4 linked regions of the Saccharomyces cerevisiae S288C genome follow. The gene in region 4 interacts genetically with the main gene of each other region. Each region holds a gene or a part of one and is shown on either strand. Other genes may lie near its edges. The genes, in order: DGR2, HCS1, PPN1 and HUT1.

The links.
Region 1: mutations in HUT1 (region 4) and DGR2 together harm fitness more than expected from each alone (negative genetic interaction), as found in Saccharomyces cerevisiae (one large-scale study listed by BioGRID).
Region 2: mutations in HUT1 (region 4) and HCS1 together harm fitness more than expected from each alone (negative genetic interaction), as found in Saccharomyces cerevisiae (one large-scale study listed by BioGRID).
Region 3: mutations in HUT1 (region 4) and PPN1 together harm fitness more than expected from each alone (negative genetic interaction), as found in Saccharomyces cerevisiae (one large-scale study listed by BioGRID).

What each region holds. Positions count from the first base shown.
Region 1 is NC_001143.9:212,596-217,265, reverse strand, and holds DGR2 (Dgr2p), read right to left. Parts: upstream 3,125-4,670; coding exon 566-3,124; downstream 1-565. Other genes in the region: signal recognition particle subunit SRP21, read left to right, coding at 4,268-4,670.
Region 2 is NC_001143.9:404,664-409,233, forward strand, and holds HCS1 (ATP-dependent 5'-3' DNA helicase HCS1), read right to left. Parts: upstream 2,579-4,570; coding exon 527-2,578; downstream 1-526. Other genes in the region: WD-repeat containing protein SWD2, read left to right, coding at 1-428; ATP7 (F1F0 ATP synthase subunit d), read right to left, coding at 2,802-3,326; PUT3 (Put3p), read left to right, coding at 3,881-4,570. UniProt on the Saccharomyces cerevisiae protein: DNA polymerase alpha-associated DNA helicase which may be involved in DNA replication.
Region 3 is NC_001136.10:1,361,080-1,365,460, reverse strand, and holds PPN1 (endopolyphosphatase), read right to left. Parts: upstream 2,584-4,381; coding exon 559-2,583; downstream 1-558. Other genes in the region: thioredoxin peroxidase TSA2, read left to right, coding at 1-389; YHP1 (Yhp1p), read left to right, coding at 3,280-4,341. UniProt on the Saccharomyces cerevisiae protein: Catalyzes the hydrolysis of inorganic polyphosphate (polyP) chains of many hundreds of phosphate residues into shorter lengths.
Region 4 is NC_001148.4:86,498-89,719, forward strand, and holds HUT1 (UDP-galactose transporter HUT1), read right to left. Parts: upstream 1,537-3,222; coding exon 517-1,536; downstream 1-516. Other genes in the region: YPL245W (uncharacterized protein), read left to right, coding at 1-453; signal recognition particle subunit SRP68, read left to right, coding at 2,020-3,222. UniProt on the Saccharomyces cerevisiae protein: May be involved in specific transport of UDP-Gal from the cytosol to the Golgi lumen. Involved in the maintenance of optimal conditions for the folding of secretory pathway proteins in the endoplasmic reticulum.

The sequences.
Region 1 (4,670 bases), on a different chromosome or scaffold from region 4:
GAGTTCTGGAGTGGGGGCATTATGGAAGAAGAAAGTATATCTTAATGTTGCATATAATCACATAGTTTATATATATGCAGTATTTATCATTTGACGACTTAGTCACAGCTTGAAATTTCAGCGGTGCTTAATGTTCGTTTTCTTTTTTTTTTTTTTTTCCGCAACAGAAGGCCGATTCCGCTGTAACTTAATGAGGTATTAAATGCCAGATTCGTTTTCGTGACCTCCTTTAGCATATCGGCAGACCCTGACTCGCAACTGGAATAACACCACATGCGAACAAAAGCATATTTTTGCCCTACTTAATTTGAGAGTGGAAAATCTTTCCTCGATTTCATTTTTCTTATAGCCCAATTGACGTCTCTGTAGGCCCTAATAGACCCCATCGGCCTAAGACCGTTTCCGGCATCTTTCGGGTTGTAGATGGTTCTGTGAGAAAATGTGTCAGTAATGAAAAATAATAAAGATCGCTACAGATATAAATAATAATACTATGTTATTTGCAGACATGCTTATGATCTAAAGACGGTGGAACAGATAGTTTTTCCTCTTACTTTCTGATTCTCTATCTGAAATTATTGAGGATTGTACCACAATCAGCACACGTGAAACCGCTATCACCGCCAGCAATGGGGTTTTTGGAAGCACATTCAAAATTAGATCCATTGCAGACGTCACATTTCAACTTCGGATAAGTGGTAGAAACTCTCGGAATATCATGCGGTCCAAACACCGTGGAGCTCGTACTTTCACTTCTTGACTTTAGGGATATAAAACTTCCATTGGATTTATTAAAGATCGAATTCTTGAAAATAGCACTAGCTCTTGATGGCATGCCGGAAATCACCGGGCTATTATTAGGATGCAGCTCACAAAAATCGTGGCTTGGCCTACTATTGTGCGTGTTAGATGGTGGGGTTGTGCTAAACTCATTATCCTCTGTGGAACTTCTTTCATCCATTCTATTTTCCAATATGCTGTCATTGTTGTGGTTGTTGATTTTACCAGCAGCTTCGAGGTGGAATAAATTGTATTCATGGAACTTTTCTATTATTTTTTTTCGTATTTCCGGTAAGATATCAGTTCTGAAAACACGGATTAGACCTTGACTGTCTGTTGTTATTAGAATGGTTCCAACATTATTCACAACGTTCGATAGGTTTGAGCTGAATCCTCCTGTTTCTGTAACTGGGTGATTAGGTTTGTTATCACATGTTTCCTTAGATTCTGAATAATTTTGGCCCATTTCTTTGAAGTACTGTGAAGTCAGTTCGAAAATCAAATCGTTTGACAAGGACAAATTTTTAATTGCAACGTCGGGAGCAATGGAAGCACATGTGACAGGGGAGTTATGGGCATGAAATGATATATAATGATTGTTTTTGATAGCTTGAGAACCAACAGTTTGAGTTTGAAGAACATTTTTTGATGAGTTGGTAAATGTGTGTGAGCTGCTTTGGTTTGACGTTTCTGTCAAACATTCATCATTCGTACTCTTATTAGATACAATTCTCAACAGCCCTTTTAAACTCATACTGCCGCTCAGCCGTTTCTTTCTATGCGGAGCAGTGCAATTCATTTCTGCTGAAAGATTAAAGGACTGCATTTTCCAGGTATAAAACCAATGATCATCACTTCCCGTGAAAACTACAGGTTCATTTTTCATCATTAGGAATTGGCCTCTATGACGTGAGGAACCACTTTGGAATCCTTTAAAAAGCTCTAAAGGTTTTTTTTCATTTAAATCAAAGATTTGAATTTTTGAATCATTTGTCGTAACTATCAATCTTAAATTTTTGTCCACCTTAGAAAAGAAGCATTGTAAACCCGTGATTCGAGGGCCGTGTTGGACCTTTCCATATTCGGAAGATGGATGAAAGCTATTCTTAGTGGTTCCTTGAGTGCTTTTATCAGATACATGGAATGAAGATACAAATTTTAATCCATGTGTCAGTAAAACATAAATGTATCCATTGAATGTACCGATAATTGTATATTCCCCACCAGGAGGAGATAATGTTAGGGATGTTATCAAATCTTTGCAATCAAAGGCATAAGAAACCTCATTGTCCAGTATAGACCACAGTCTACACCTGTGATCTAAGCATCCGGTAATTATGAAACGATCATCATTGGGAAAAAATATTGCGGATGTAACAAAATCTGGGTGAACAAAAGTTTTCAATGAGTATTTCCTCTCAGGGTGCCATAGTTTTGCAGTTTTGTCCATTGATGCTGTTATTAGAAATCCATTTTTGGACCAGTTTGCATCCAAAATATCTAAAGCGTGCTCCATAAAAACCCTAAACACATCAGAATAGAAAACCGGTGCGTATAAATGTAATTGTTTGGAAGGTCCTTCAAACTGGTCGCTCGGCTTCAAATCATTACTTGATATGGAGCCGTTATGAGAACTAATGCTCGCCAAATGTCTTTGAATCTTTAGTGAGTTTGCTCTAGAGGCACTGACTGACTTTTCTGAGCGTCCCATTTCGGATCTCTTAACTGGTGAGTTTATGACTTTCCAAAGATGCAAAGAGCCATCTTTACAACCAATAACCATATACTTACCATCATGACTGAACGTACAGCAGCATATTGAATTCTTGAATAGCTCTGAATTAGCAACTGCAGGTTCTCCCTGGTAGGTTGTAGATTTGTAAACGTCGGGAATTTTCAACTCTTGAGCTAAGAACATTCTATCAAACTGTTCTAATCCTTCCTTTTTTTTAAATATTTTAATATATGTGGGTTCTTCGAGATAGTTTTCGAAATATTTCCTATCGAATAGGTCGAAATACCATCGGTCATTCTCACTGAGTTTATTGTACCCATTTGAAACCACTGAGTTTCTGTGAAGTGTTTTTCTCAGCCTCGTGCCGTAGTCTATATTATCAATGAACCTTAATTGAGCAGGAATTATATCGGCAGAGTAGCCTCCATCATATCTAGAAGAGCTTCTTTTTGAATCTGCAATAGAGGAATGTCGGCTCCTGTCGCCTGGTATGTTCAAATGTTTCGTTTGGCTCTTTTCTTTGGGATTTACAGGGGTTGCATTGCGATCACCCTCGTTGGAGTTCGGGGTTTCATCATAGCTTAAAGTGCTTGTTTTCGACTTGAACATTTCACAGGCTCCTACTGCACAAATAGTAATTCTACGTTGGTAAGGATTAAAACGGTACTGAGTAATAGTGCAATTGACGTCTTCGACGGCTAGCGCTTGTAAACTTTCCTTGTTTTTGTCGCACCGTTAAAATAAAGATCTTGTTCAAGTCAGCTCCTTCTTAGAATAGCGGAAGACGTTTACTAAAGTCAGTATATGCCTGTAAGTTGCCTGTTAGTTGTTTTCAAAATTTCTTCCTGCTTGACGCAAATACCCTTTTTATGAAAACTCTTTTACGCATTTTGAATTATTAGCGGTACATTAAAACGGACTTTTCATTCCGTATTGGCGGTTATGCTAAATAAAGAAAAGAAGGCACCTAAACAAACCCAAAAATGCTTTCACAGGAATCATCACACCAATATGGCGCATACTATCTGAGAGACTGTTTCAAAATAGTAAATAATTGAGAGTTTTTTTTGCGGCAATTACATCTTTTTAAATATTTAGTTATTGAATGATTAAATTAGAAGGATTGATCATAAACAACACAAGAGAAACAAAGAGTATGGGGGATAATTAGTACTTTCATTTCTTTACCTGTGTACGGCAAAAAATATAAAAGGGCACTTCCATCAGATACACCACTAGTGATAGACTGACGGTTTCCCCTACCTTTTACAAGTCACTTCCCGTACACCATTATCAACATTAAATGACGCCTGAACATTTATTATTTGCAAACATCATGCTTTGATCTTTGAATACTTGATAATCATGCTTTGATAGATGTGGAAGCAATTCGGTAGAAAAGTTTCCTCACCCCAGTATTTTCTCAGTGCAAAGAGTTTGTCATTACCACACTAGCTAATGAAAGCCTCAATTCGTCCAGCTGAAAAAGATACGTCTGCATACTAGTAAATGGAACCGGATGAGCACAAATACAGATTATTAATGTCAATAACAATGACAATAGTTCCGCTATTTGCGTCACTTTTTACTTATGGCAGAAGGCAGGGTAAGCCGCACCACTCTTGAAAAGTTAAGAACTGACTATTTTCGCGAGAACAATGCTAAAAGTTTCAATTGTGCTGTCTTCGATTGACCCAAATAAAAGAGCTTCCCTCCGCGAGCAAATTAACAGACCTAATTGAACTGGAAAACATGTCTGTGAAACCCATTGACAACTACATCACGAACAGTGTTCGCCTTTTTGAGGTGAATCCATCTCAAACGCTCTTCTCCATATCGTATAAACCACCAACACAGAAGACAGACACCAAAGTGTCCTTTAGAACTCATAACTCGCATTTATCCTTGAACTATAAATTTACTACTAATAAGAGTAAAGATGTTTCAAGATTACTTAGTGCATTAGGCCCACGAGGCGTATCTATAACTCCAGGTAAAATTGAAAAAATAGCACAGTCGAAGAAGAAAAATAACAAAATAAAAGAATCGAGTAAAAAAATAAAAGGTAAGAGCATCCAAGACATTGTTGGTTTAGCCACCTTAATTGTCAACACAGATGTCGAAAAGAGCGATCCTGCGGCTAAGAAAACTGCTA
Region 2 (4,570 bases), on a different chromosome or scaffold from region 4:
AGGGTCCTTTCTTGATAATTAAAATTAATGATGCGACTTTCAGTCAATGGAATAAATTAGAATTTTCTAACAATGGAAAGTATTTATTAGTTGGCTCCTCGATAGGAAAGCATTTAATTTTTGACGCATTCACAGGTCAACAATTATTCGAACTAATAGGAACAAGGGCCTTCCCGATGAGAGAATTTCTAGATTCTGGATCTGCTTGTTTCACACCAGATGGTGAATTCGTCCTTGGAACCGATTATGACGGTAGGATTGCCATTTGGAATCATTCTGATTCAATAAGTAACAAAGTATTAAGGCCGCAAGGGTTCATTCCCTGTGTTTCTCATGAGACCTGCCCCAGGTCAATTGCATTCAACCCTAAATATTCGATGTTTGTTACCGCAGACGAAACAGTAGATTTTTACGTGTACGATGAATGACTGCTGCTACTGCATTGATATACTAGAGGATATAATATATAACGAACATTTTTTACCTACTGTATAACGACGTATACTCTATACATCTTGTGTATTCTTTACAAATAATCGTCAATGTTGGGGTACCTTACGTCAGCGTTCTCTTCACACCATTCTGACCAACTTTTTAGGTACTTGTTACCGCACCTTTGCAGAACTTCTATATTGCCAACAACAACTAGTTGCCTTCTGGGTCTTGTCATGGCGACGTTCAGTCTTCGTTCTTCCTTAAGGAAACCAACTTCAAATTTTTCATTGCTACGAACTAAACTCAATATGATAACATCTTTTTCACGGCCCTGGAACCCATCTACAGTTGATATTTCAATATCAGTTAATTTTAATTCATCATGGATCAATTTTTTCAGATGAGAAACTTGTGCATTGTATGGAGAAATAACACCTATAGAGTTCTCCGGGACGTTGAATGACCTTAAATTCTCAATGTGTTCTTTTACAATGGCAATTTCGCCCTCATTATACTTAGATCCAAGGATAGTAGCTTCATCTGCAGTCTCTTGAAATTCATCACCTTGCGTATCATACCAAATTAAAGGAATTTTTGTATCGTCATCATCCTCAGATGGCGTAGCATCGACGGTCGGTAGGTCTATCAAAAGTCTGTTCGCGACCGTTGCATCGGCCAATAGTTTCCCATTATACATTGAGTGCGATGGAAATTCCATAATTTTTTGATTCATCCTGTATTGAACGTTAAGAAATTTTACCATATCCCTTTTCGGGAATATTTTGATTATTCTGTCAAATAGTGTGGTTTCCAAATTGTGAATGACATTTTTGTCGTCTTCTGTTTTGATTGTGGGTGGCAATTGTTTATTGTCACCAGCAAGGACTAGTTTGTGGAACTGATTTTGATGTGCAATTAGTGGGATCCAGCATTGTGGTTCCATGGCCTGTGAGACTTCATCGATGATCAAGGTATCGAAAAGCTGGAAATTTGGATCATCTCTATAAAGGGAGCATAGTTCTCTCGATGATGAACCGTGTAAAGTGGTGACGACTATTCTCGATTGTATTATTAAGTCCTTAATGGTTTTGAACTCTCTTTTCTTTAAATCTTTGCGCAGCAGTTTAATTTCGTTCCAGTTTTCTTTACGTTGCTTATAGTTTTTTAGTTTTTTATTCTCCTGAATTAATTTGTCAATCTCCTGGGAAATGTCCTTCACAATAGTATTCTTTTTACTAAGTATATCAAGAGAGTGTCTTTTATTAGAGTCTAATAGCCTAGCAGGATGACCGATTCTTAATAATAAATTATTCGGCACAAGAGGCGTTAGCCTCTCCAGAATCGTATCCACAGAAATATTGGAAGGCCCACAAATTAAGATTCTCTCCTCAGGATTTTTAATTAGCAATTGCTGGATCAATTCAATTAATGTGAATGTTTTACCCGTACCAGGAGGACCATGTATAATGGTCAAGTCATTGTTAATGGCAAAATTAATGGCAGTTTTCTGGGAGTCATTCAGATTCGGGTTTAAAAAAGATTTAATGTTTTGAAAGCTGTTTGTATTGGGGATGAAGGGGCGTTCGTTTACCAAGTATTGTATAATTTTGTCTTGTATGGGTGAACTAATTTCAGACAGTTTTCTCATTGTGGATTCCATTCTATTATACGTGACGACATTGGTAGTCTTTAAAATGTAAAGTTTGCTATAAGAATAAAATGTGGTAGCAATAACATCTTGAGATTCTTCTAGAGCTATGGTGATTTGAGTATCACTCATTTTGTAGACAACGCCTGAGCATTCCGCTTGCTCGCCATTGGAGTCTTCAGACACCTTTTTGACTTTGGGCTTAGTCTTGGTATTTACTTTGGTTTTTGCAGGGCGTACCAAAACAATATCACCAACCTTAATATCACCCCTTTGAATTTTGTCGTTAACCGCCAAGTTAGGTCCCAGTTCCATATATAATTTGCCAATGAGACCGGATCTTATGTTTTCTAGATGTATGTTGTTTATTGCCAAGCCATTTTGCACCAATTGTTGGATAGATAGCGTTGTTAATAGCCTAGAAGTTGTTTGAATGTCTTGTTCACGTTCATGCTTGATGCTTGATAAAAACTTAGAAGCCAATTCTTTGTTCATTTCCCTCTACTCTTTTTTCTATATTTCTCAAGAGACAACTTTACATCAGCCTTCATATTTTTGAAATATATGTAACGTACAAGATTTTCTTAGCGTAAGGATATGCAGGCGCACATTTGTGTATATATGACAGTAAGAATGTTTAATTATAATATTTGCCAGTTATATAAACCTGTGAAAAAAATAATAGAATATGGTGCGTAATATATAGAGGTAAAGGGTACTACATCACATTCAAATTGCCGAATCTGTCCTTGTAACCAGGTACGTCCCATTTACCCTTCTTGACCATCTCTTCTACCTTAGCATCAATTTCAGGTTTGATCTTTGTCAGGTCGTCAACAGTTAATTCATCGAAAGGTCTTGCAGATTGAATATTATCTAAGGTGCTTTGCAAATCCTTTAACTCCTTGGAAACTAAGGATTCTGTCTCCTTGGCGTTGGTCATTGCGTGCTTTTCAAAAGACTCAATCACTTGTAATTGTTTGGAGGCATCGATTTTGACCGGCTTATATTGCTTAACGTATGATTCTATCTTGTCAATGACTGAAGTGTTTTTCAACACAGATCTATAATGACTGAAATCTACTTCGGTGGGTTGACTTTGCAGCTCTAGTAATTGTCTACGTGCCTCATCGTTTCTCTTTTTAAAACTCGATAATTGAGTGGCAGTCGACCCTGTTATACGTAGAGAAGAGATGACTTTTGCCCAGTCAAGTTTGTTAGCAGCGGATTTGGCCAAAGACATAGTCGAACAAAAATATAATTAGGTGATTCTGCAATTAAGTGCACGAAAAATTTCTTTTAAATCCTAAGATTGTTCTTTTGCGTTACGTGTCAATATGAATATATAAACTTATATAGAAAAGTATTGTACTAGTAGAAATATGTTTTACACCTACGCTAAGCAGCAAGTGGTAATTGGTGTATCTTTTACTTTTTTGGGGGCATCAAGACAAATATCCAATCAAATCGAAGAGAAAATAATTCTTGTAACCCGCTCATTAGTCACGTGGTCATCACGTGAGCATAATATATCACGTGATATACACCCATACCTCGTTTATGGGATTGAGTCATCGGATATGTCATTATAAACGATATTTCTCCGCGGCAATGAGGTGGCGAATATTGGAGTAAAAATGAAAACATCCACCAGGTGCTTGATGATATACTTGACTTCGGCGGCAATTTAAAGCTTTCTAAGCAGCAATTAGTAAGTAACCATTACAATAACGATAAATACGACACTGGTCCAACTAACTCATTGATAGGATAATTGCAGTGATCTTAACGAGTTTAATGGTGACCGACCAAGGCAGTAGGCATTCGATACAATCTAAGCAACCAGCCTACGTTAATAAACAACCGCAAAAAAGGCAGCAGAGATCTTCTGTCGCATGCCTTTCTTGTAGGAAACGTCATATAAAATGTCCTGGTGGTAACCCTTGCCAAAAATGTGTTACGAGCAATGCCATATGTGAGTACTTGGAGCCGTCAAAAAAAATTGTTGTGTCGACAAAGTATCTGCAACAACTGCAAAAAGACTTGAATGATAAAACTGAAGAGAATAACCGCCTGAAAGCTTTGCTCTTGGAGAGACCAGTGAGTGTACGTGGTAAGGATAACAGCGATGATGACGAGAGGCATATAAACAATGCACCCTCAAGTGACACATTGGAAGTATCCAGCGCTCCGGCGGCTCCTATATTTGACCTCATGTCCAATAGTAACACTGCGTCCGATAACGATAACGACGATGACAACAGCAACAGAATCACAAATAATAGGAGCTATGATCATAGTTTGGAAAAATACTACAAAAAGGCCATCAGCATCTTTAAACAACCAGCTAATGCTAATGGCGAAAATGGCAACGGTGCCAATGGTCATGAGGATGATGATGAAGATGATGAAGAAATATCAACAAATTTTGCTCAAAGAAGTGGTAGGCTCATAGAATCTCACAATGGATTCCATTATTTTGTTGGA
Region 3 (4,381 bases), on a different chromosome or scaffold from region 4:
AAGTTTTATTTGCCTCCACCGACTCTGAATATTCCTTACTGGCATGGACCAACCTTCCCAGAAAAGACGGTGGATTAGGTCCAGTTAAAGTTCCTTTGCTTGCTGATAAGAATCATTCCTTATCCAGAGACTATGGCGTTTTGATTGAAAAAGAAGGTATAGCTTTAAGAGGTTTGTTCATAATCGACCCGAAGGGAATCATTAGACATATCACTATCAATGATTTATCTGTTGGCAGAAACGTCAATGAAGCTTTGAGATTAGTCGAAGGTTTCCAGTGGACTGACAAAAATGGTACAGTTTTGCCATGCAACTGGACCCCAGGAGCCGCCACCATCAAACCTGACGTTAAAGATTCCAAGGAGTATTTCAAAAATGCCAATAATTAATCTTCGCACGATAACGCTAGGCCCTATTAAATAATTAAAAATACATCACCCTATATATGATAAGAAAGATGGTTTTGTATTATTATGAAATTGACTTGAAAGAATAGTGTAACAAAAGAAAAAGAAACTGTAATTGAAGAATGATATGCATTTCTATGTGTATATTAACTTAATCATCTTTATATCCAGAAGACGCAAATGACCATTCGACGTATTTTTCCCATGCAGGTTTGTTTTCGTATAATCTGCCTGCAAGATCCAAATAACTTCCTACTGTTAACGAATCCATTGAGTATGGTTTCTCGTCTGAGGTATATTCTATCTCATACCTGAAAATATCCTTAGATTCAACAAATGAATTATGTAATTCTTGATTGATTTTTTCCAAGTCGGCGTAGAATTGGACGAAACGCGTCGGAGTGAATAACTGCGGTACATATGCAGGGCCGAGTTCGTATTTGTCTGGCATCTCAATTGGCATAGTCTTGTCATTTTTCTTTTTCTTCTTGTTTTTCTTTTCGCCCATCTTCTCGCGGTTGATCCCAACCTCGATATTACTGCTGTCCATTTCATCTTCTAGCAAAGAGTCTTCCATAATCTTATTTAGTGACTCGAAAAATTCATCCCAGGGCTTATACTCCGAAACTGCAAAATTGGAGTCATTCACTATGTCGGTGATGTTATATTCCCAGATCCTAAAGGAAGGATTGAAAGTTGGAATGACTGAACCACCTATGTTCACAATGGAATAGCGTTCAATGAGCTCTTTTCTAGTGATTGGCTTTTTCTTTTTTTTGTCCTTCTTTTCTTTCTTTTTCTTCTCATTTTCAACATTTTTTTCATCCACTCTTTCCAGCTTATTCCACACTTTCCGATAGTATGTGTCGCGGACGGTGTTCATATATGCTTCTTTGTTAGATGGTTTCGCTCCCATTAAAAAAACTTCTTTTGCCGCCATAGCGTGATCCAGAATTCTATTCAATTCAGTTTCTTCGTCCTCTTCATTACTGTCTTCTCCTTGTTGAACACGAGTGGATTGCTCCATGGCTTTCAATAACGATTTTCTAGCTTTTTTACCATCCGTTGGGATGAAGTGGTCAATATTCATGTGACCGTATAATCCTCCAATGATTATATCCCTGTATTCGTGAGTCCATAGCGTGAACTTATCGTAGCACGACTGATCGAAATTTTTTGCGATTGGAGGTACATGTCCACTTAACCATACTTTCATTCCCCTACTCCTTAGTTCTTCTAATACATAACCGAACCAAAGTAAAAGTTGGTAACCTGGTTCTTTTTTTGAATTACAATTGTCAACTAACGGATTGGCCTTGAATAAGTACAGCGTGTTAATTGACAGGACAGCAAGCTTCCCTGGAATAACTTCAGTCAAAAATGAAGCACTCCTATCAAAAGTTCTTTGCTGCTGCTGCGGAACAAAATTTTTCCAAATCCTATAATATTCTCTAGTTTGTAGAGTTGGTCCTAGTGCAAACATGTTATGTGGAAAGACATCATTGTTTCCAAGACTTGGAATGACAGACACATCAAAATCTCTTGGATCTTCTTCATTGCCAGCACTAAATAATTCTGTCATTTTATCAGCAACGATATTGTTCATATCAAAAATTTGTGCTTCTGTTCTTGGATGTTTCCGGTCATTGTCATGTCTGATATTATCACCCGTCCAAATGACAAAATCAATCTTATCTCTAAGATTTTCTTTAATCCATCTCAGAGTTTCTTCCATTAAAATAACGGGAGAATCACATCCAGACATTGCCTTCCCAAACTTGGGTGCCACATCCTTTTTTTTGCTTGGTTTTCCTGTGTGACAAACTGCATCAATAGAGCTTCCTTCCACATAATAAGGGTCAGGATGAATATCGGTAATATGAAGGAACCGTCCATGTAATTTTCTCTCCTTCCCTGTCTTTACGTCTTTGATAATTACTGGCTCCCTAGGTGTCAGTCCTAGCCTTGTAAATTCTATGTCATTGAGCAATTGAAGTGACTCGTTGTCCCCCCTGTCATCTAAGAATTTGGAGAAAACGGAAACATATTGAAATTTAGCACCAATTATAAACACGAGGAAAAACAAAACACAGGTCGACAGGATGGCAATCAATGATTTCTTCTTCGGCCTACTCATGCTTACATTGCGCACTTCACTCTTACCCACTACAACCATCGAAAAGCAGCTAACTAGCTCTACCCCTACTCAATGAAAACAATAGCTGGAGACAAGGAGATCAAAAAAACTTTATAATTCTCCAACCCAACAACCAAAAAAAATATTGATCTGTTGATTTTAGCCTTCTTCTGACTTGTATTCTACCATAAAACCCTTTACACTCTCAAATGAATCTTGGTAATTAAAAGTGCAATATAACTTTAAAGGTGCTAAATTCTAATAACGACATATGTCCTCAATAGTCGGGTAATGGTCATATTTGTCCTCTACCGTACGAAGGGAGCATATTATGCATCCTGCTCGAAACGCTCAGAGAAGGGCCGCACAGGTGGGCAGATCACATTTCCTCTTTCGGCTATAAACCACGTCCTAATTTGGACATGACGCGCGCCAAAAACCCGGAATGGTAAACATCAGACGCGCTTTCCGTGCAGGGATACGTCGGTATTTTTAATATCAATGCTGAATTGGGTTAATAGCATGAGACATTTCAGCCAGATTTTTCGTTTACTCATTGTTTATTTGTTTGATCTGGATCACACAGATGAATGTTTATAAATATATATATGGCGTCCTCCCGATCTTGCCAACGTAGATTATAATTCGTATTATCTTCTTCTTTACCCTCGCCAGCCAGTGTAACTAGCATTTGTAGGGAAATAACAATAACACAAAATATCGTATATATATAACATGGAAAGCAGAAATACCGTGCTTCCTTCTTTACCAAACATTATTACAGGTACTTCTAATTCGCCTTTCCAACTGCATACTTTGCCAAATACAAACTTCCCTAGTGATGACCAAGGTGACATCAGGTTGCCACCATTAGCTGCATCTGCGCACATTGTGAGACCAGTGGTAAATATTTATAAAAGTCCTTGCGATGAGGAAAGGCCAAAAAGGAAAAGTCCACAGGCTGTGGATTTCTTATCACAACGTGTAACCACTTCCATGACGCCTTTATCCAAGCCCAAGAAGCTGAGCTCTCATTCACCATTCACGCCAACGGTCAGAGTCTGTTCTAAAGAGCAGCCACCTCAGAGTATGCACTCTTATAAAAAAGTTAATATTCTTACTCCTCTATCTGCTGCAAAGGCTGTTCTCACACCAACCACAAGAAAAGAAAAGAAAAGGTCATTTGCCTTTATTACACACTCACAGGAAACTTTTCCAAAGAAGGAGCCTAAGATAGACAATGCTCGGTTAGCTCGTCGGAAAAGAAGAAGAACTTCATCATATGAGCTTGGGATATTGCAAACAGCATTTGACGAATGTCCCACGCCCAATAAGGCTAAAAGGATAGAGTTATCCGAGCAATGTAATATGTCCGAAAAATCGGTTCAAATATGGTTTCAGAACAAAAGGCAGGCTGCTAAAAAGCACAAGAACAGTGGCAACACCAGCCATTGCAAAGTTCACTCTAATGATTCGATGTCTATGATATCTTACTCAGACGCTGCGTTGGAAATTACCTCTACGCCAACGAGTACGAAGGAGGCTATTACTGCAGAGTTGCTGAAAACTTCACCTGCCAATACGTCCTCGATCTTCGAAGACCACCACATAACGCCTTGCAAGCCCGGCGGACAGCTCAAGTTCCACAGGAAATCTGTGCTTGTTAAGAGAACATTATCAAATACCGGTCATAGCGAGATTATCAAAAGTCCTAAAGGCAAGGAAAACCGCCTAAAGTTCAATGCATACGAAAGAAAACCCCTTGGGGAGGTCGATCTCAATTCTTTCAAAAACTAATCTTTCTCAGTGTTTATTTTCTTGAGCACTGATGCTATCA
Region 4 (3,222 bases):
CAATACGGCCAATGTAGGATGCTATCTACTTACGATTTTCCCTATCGCTTGGACGGAAAAGACTATTACGTTGAATGTGGTGACAATTTCAAAGTTCGCTGGGATCGCTATACTCCACGTGAAGTGACGCCTTGGAGTGAGCGTTGCGACACGATTGATGAGGTAGGTAGTGTGTATACTATCCAAGGGTTTGATCTGAATTATGCTGGTGTAATTTTGGGCCGTTCCATTGGGTATGATGCGGCTAATGACTGCATCAAACTAAGACCAGAGCTGTATGACGATAGGGCCGGTTTCACCAAAAAGAAAAACATTCACAATGCAGAGGACGTTAAGCAAAAGATTATTATGAATAGCATTAATGTCCTCTTAACTCGTGGCGTGCGTGGTCTGTATGTTTATGCATACGATCCTGAATTAAGAGAGAGACTGCTTCGTCCATCAAAAAAATAGGAAGTACATAGTATAGACAAATTTTATAAATATTAACTTTTATTTGTTGCGATCTTCACTAATCTACGCAGATTTTGCCTTCGGTATATTAGCCTTCTTCTTGTTGAGTGCTTCCCAAGTGATTCCACCAAATACTATAAACATCCCCACCCATTGCTGGAAACGTACACTCTTACCGAAGACAATAATACTCAAAATCATCGAGACCATTTTCCTGGTGACTGTTATCATGATCAAAACTAAAGAGCCAAATTGTTCTAGAGTATAGAAAATAAAGCATTGTCCCATAGCGCCACAGAACGAATAAAGCATTAAATAGCCCCACACTTGTGGGTCCATCGTCAATACAGAAACGGCATTATCCCATTGTTTGCAGTCGATCACAATAAAATACAAAATATTCCACAATATCACGAAGAGGTTCAGTGTAAACATCAAGTGTGCACCTGTTATCAAAGTTTGTTTTCCCTTTTCTTTGGCCTTATTGGCCTTTAGTAGCTTATCTTGGGTGGCGTTGGTCAATCCATCAAGGAATAAACTAGAGAAAAGTAGTCCAAACCCTTGTAATTTGTTATCATTTCCGCTCTCATTAAAGGATCTCTTCAACTTTTTACCATCGTTGCCACCTATAGTGAAAATAGTGACACCGAGACTTACCAAGAGAGCTACAACTTTTTTTTGGCTTGCTATGGGCGTCCTATACAAAAGCAAATGCACCAACAACACGGGGATCATCTTGCATGACTTTGCTAACATGTAAGTGAGATAATCCACGTGCTTTAAAGAAGTTGTAGCCAGCGGGCCTGAACTACTCTGTGTAAATGATATCAACATCAATTGTTTCCAATGATCTTTAATCATTTTTCTGGGCGGATATTCCACCTTCTTCCAGTTTAAGTACAGGTAGCCCATCATCATTGCCACAGAAGCTTGTATGAGGGATATTACATTAGGGAATTGAAACTTTCCCATGGAGTTTGGCCAGGTTCTTGTAGCCAAAGGCTCCTGTACTAATGCCCACGTCAAAAAAGTAGCATATATACCAATCGCACAGATCACCAAACTGGATGTACTTCCCGCCATACAAATATACGAATACTGCCTTGTTTACTTCTTCTTGTTACGTTGTAATTCTGGTTCTAATTACATTGCTGTCATTTTTTCATGTTCGATGGGATCTACAAAACAACCTTTAGAAGCGATCTCAGGGAAGCTTTGGAAGAGAAACAGCTGATGATTCTGGCATTCCACAAACTACAACAACGAACCAAACGACATATTCCATTGCAGTGATTTGATTGGGAGTAAGCTTTTATAAACGAGCAGACCAATATGATTTACGTAGTATTTCGTTGTCTTTACCACATCGTTGTTCGTGATAAGTTCTGAAAATTTTTTTTGGAGTATATTTGCTAGAGTTAATCCAACAATATTAGCATAAACGAGCAGCTGGAGACTAGGTTATTTGAATTATTTGAGCATCAAAGTGATCAATTGTATTATATTACAGTGTAATTTTCTTTTTTTCCATATTGAATCAAAAACTAGCCACGCTTGAAACTAAAGATGGTTGCCTATTCTCCAATCATTGCCACCTATGGTAATCGTGCAGAACAGTTTTTAGAAACAGACTCAGACTTCGCTAAGTATCATGCGAAATTGAATAAAAAGTTGCAACACTTGAGGAGCCGTTGCCATTTGGTCACCAAGGATACAAAGAAATACTCAAGTAAAAATAAGTATGGCGAAATTAACTCCGAGGATTATGATAATAAAACTAAATTGATTGGTGTTTTGATTTTACTACACGCTGAAAGGGACTTGGCACTGGCTGAAACTTTGAAATTGAGAGCTCGTCAAAGAGGAAAGTTAAAGAAAAGTGAAGAAAAGGTTTTATCCACAAGATTGAAGAAGGCCTGCAAGACTGCTGATAAATTGGTTAACGTCACTCAAAATGAACAGCAATGGATAACTCGTGCCCAATATTTAGCGTTCGCTAAATTGGTACATTCAGAGTACCTAATTAATGGAAAAAGGTTCAAGAGGAAGGACAATGCCAAAATTTCGAACAACCTAGCCCTCGTTTTCGCCGCATTGGAACACTTGAAGAATCTAAGCTTATTAGCTGAAGAAGTTGTAGATAACATTGTTAATAAATACCAGTACTCTCTCAAGCAGTACGCGGGAAATTTAATTACAACGCCCGAAATAAATAACTTTATCGTGGAAAGAGTTCAATCTGATGAGAACAAGGACGATGAGCTTGTGAAATTGTTATTAGACAATGGATTCAATATGAAAAAAATTACAACCTCAACTGAAGATCAAAAGGTTACCACTAACATAAACTGGAGATCTTTCAACGCCAAGATAATCGATGCTGAAGTTGCTCAATTTTTGGAACAAGGTCTATCTATCCACCCAACTCAGATTACTCAATATACACAGAGGCTATCAAAATTGGAGAAAGCTTTAGACCGTCATGAATTTTTCATCGCAAACCACGACGATCAAGATGACATAGACGAGATGGTTGAAAATAGTTCTGAAAACAATCAGATAATTTTAGCCTACATTAAATATAATATTCTTTTGACCTCTATATCTCGTGAAAGAGATTTGTTTACTCATTTATGGAATCAATGGCTGAAATTAAATACTTCATTACCATCGAAGTTAACCAAATATAAAGAAATGGAACGTATTGTGAAGAATTTGACAAAATATTTATCGGACATAATGGAGCTACCTGGTGTGTATTCAGATGAC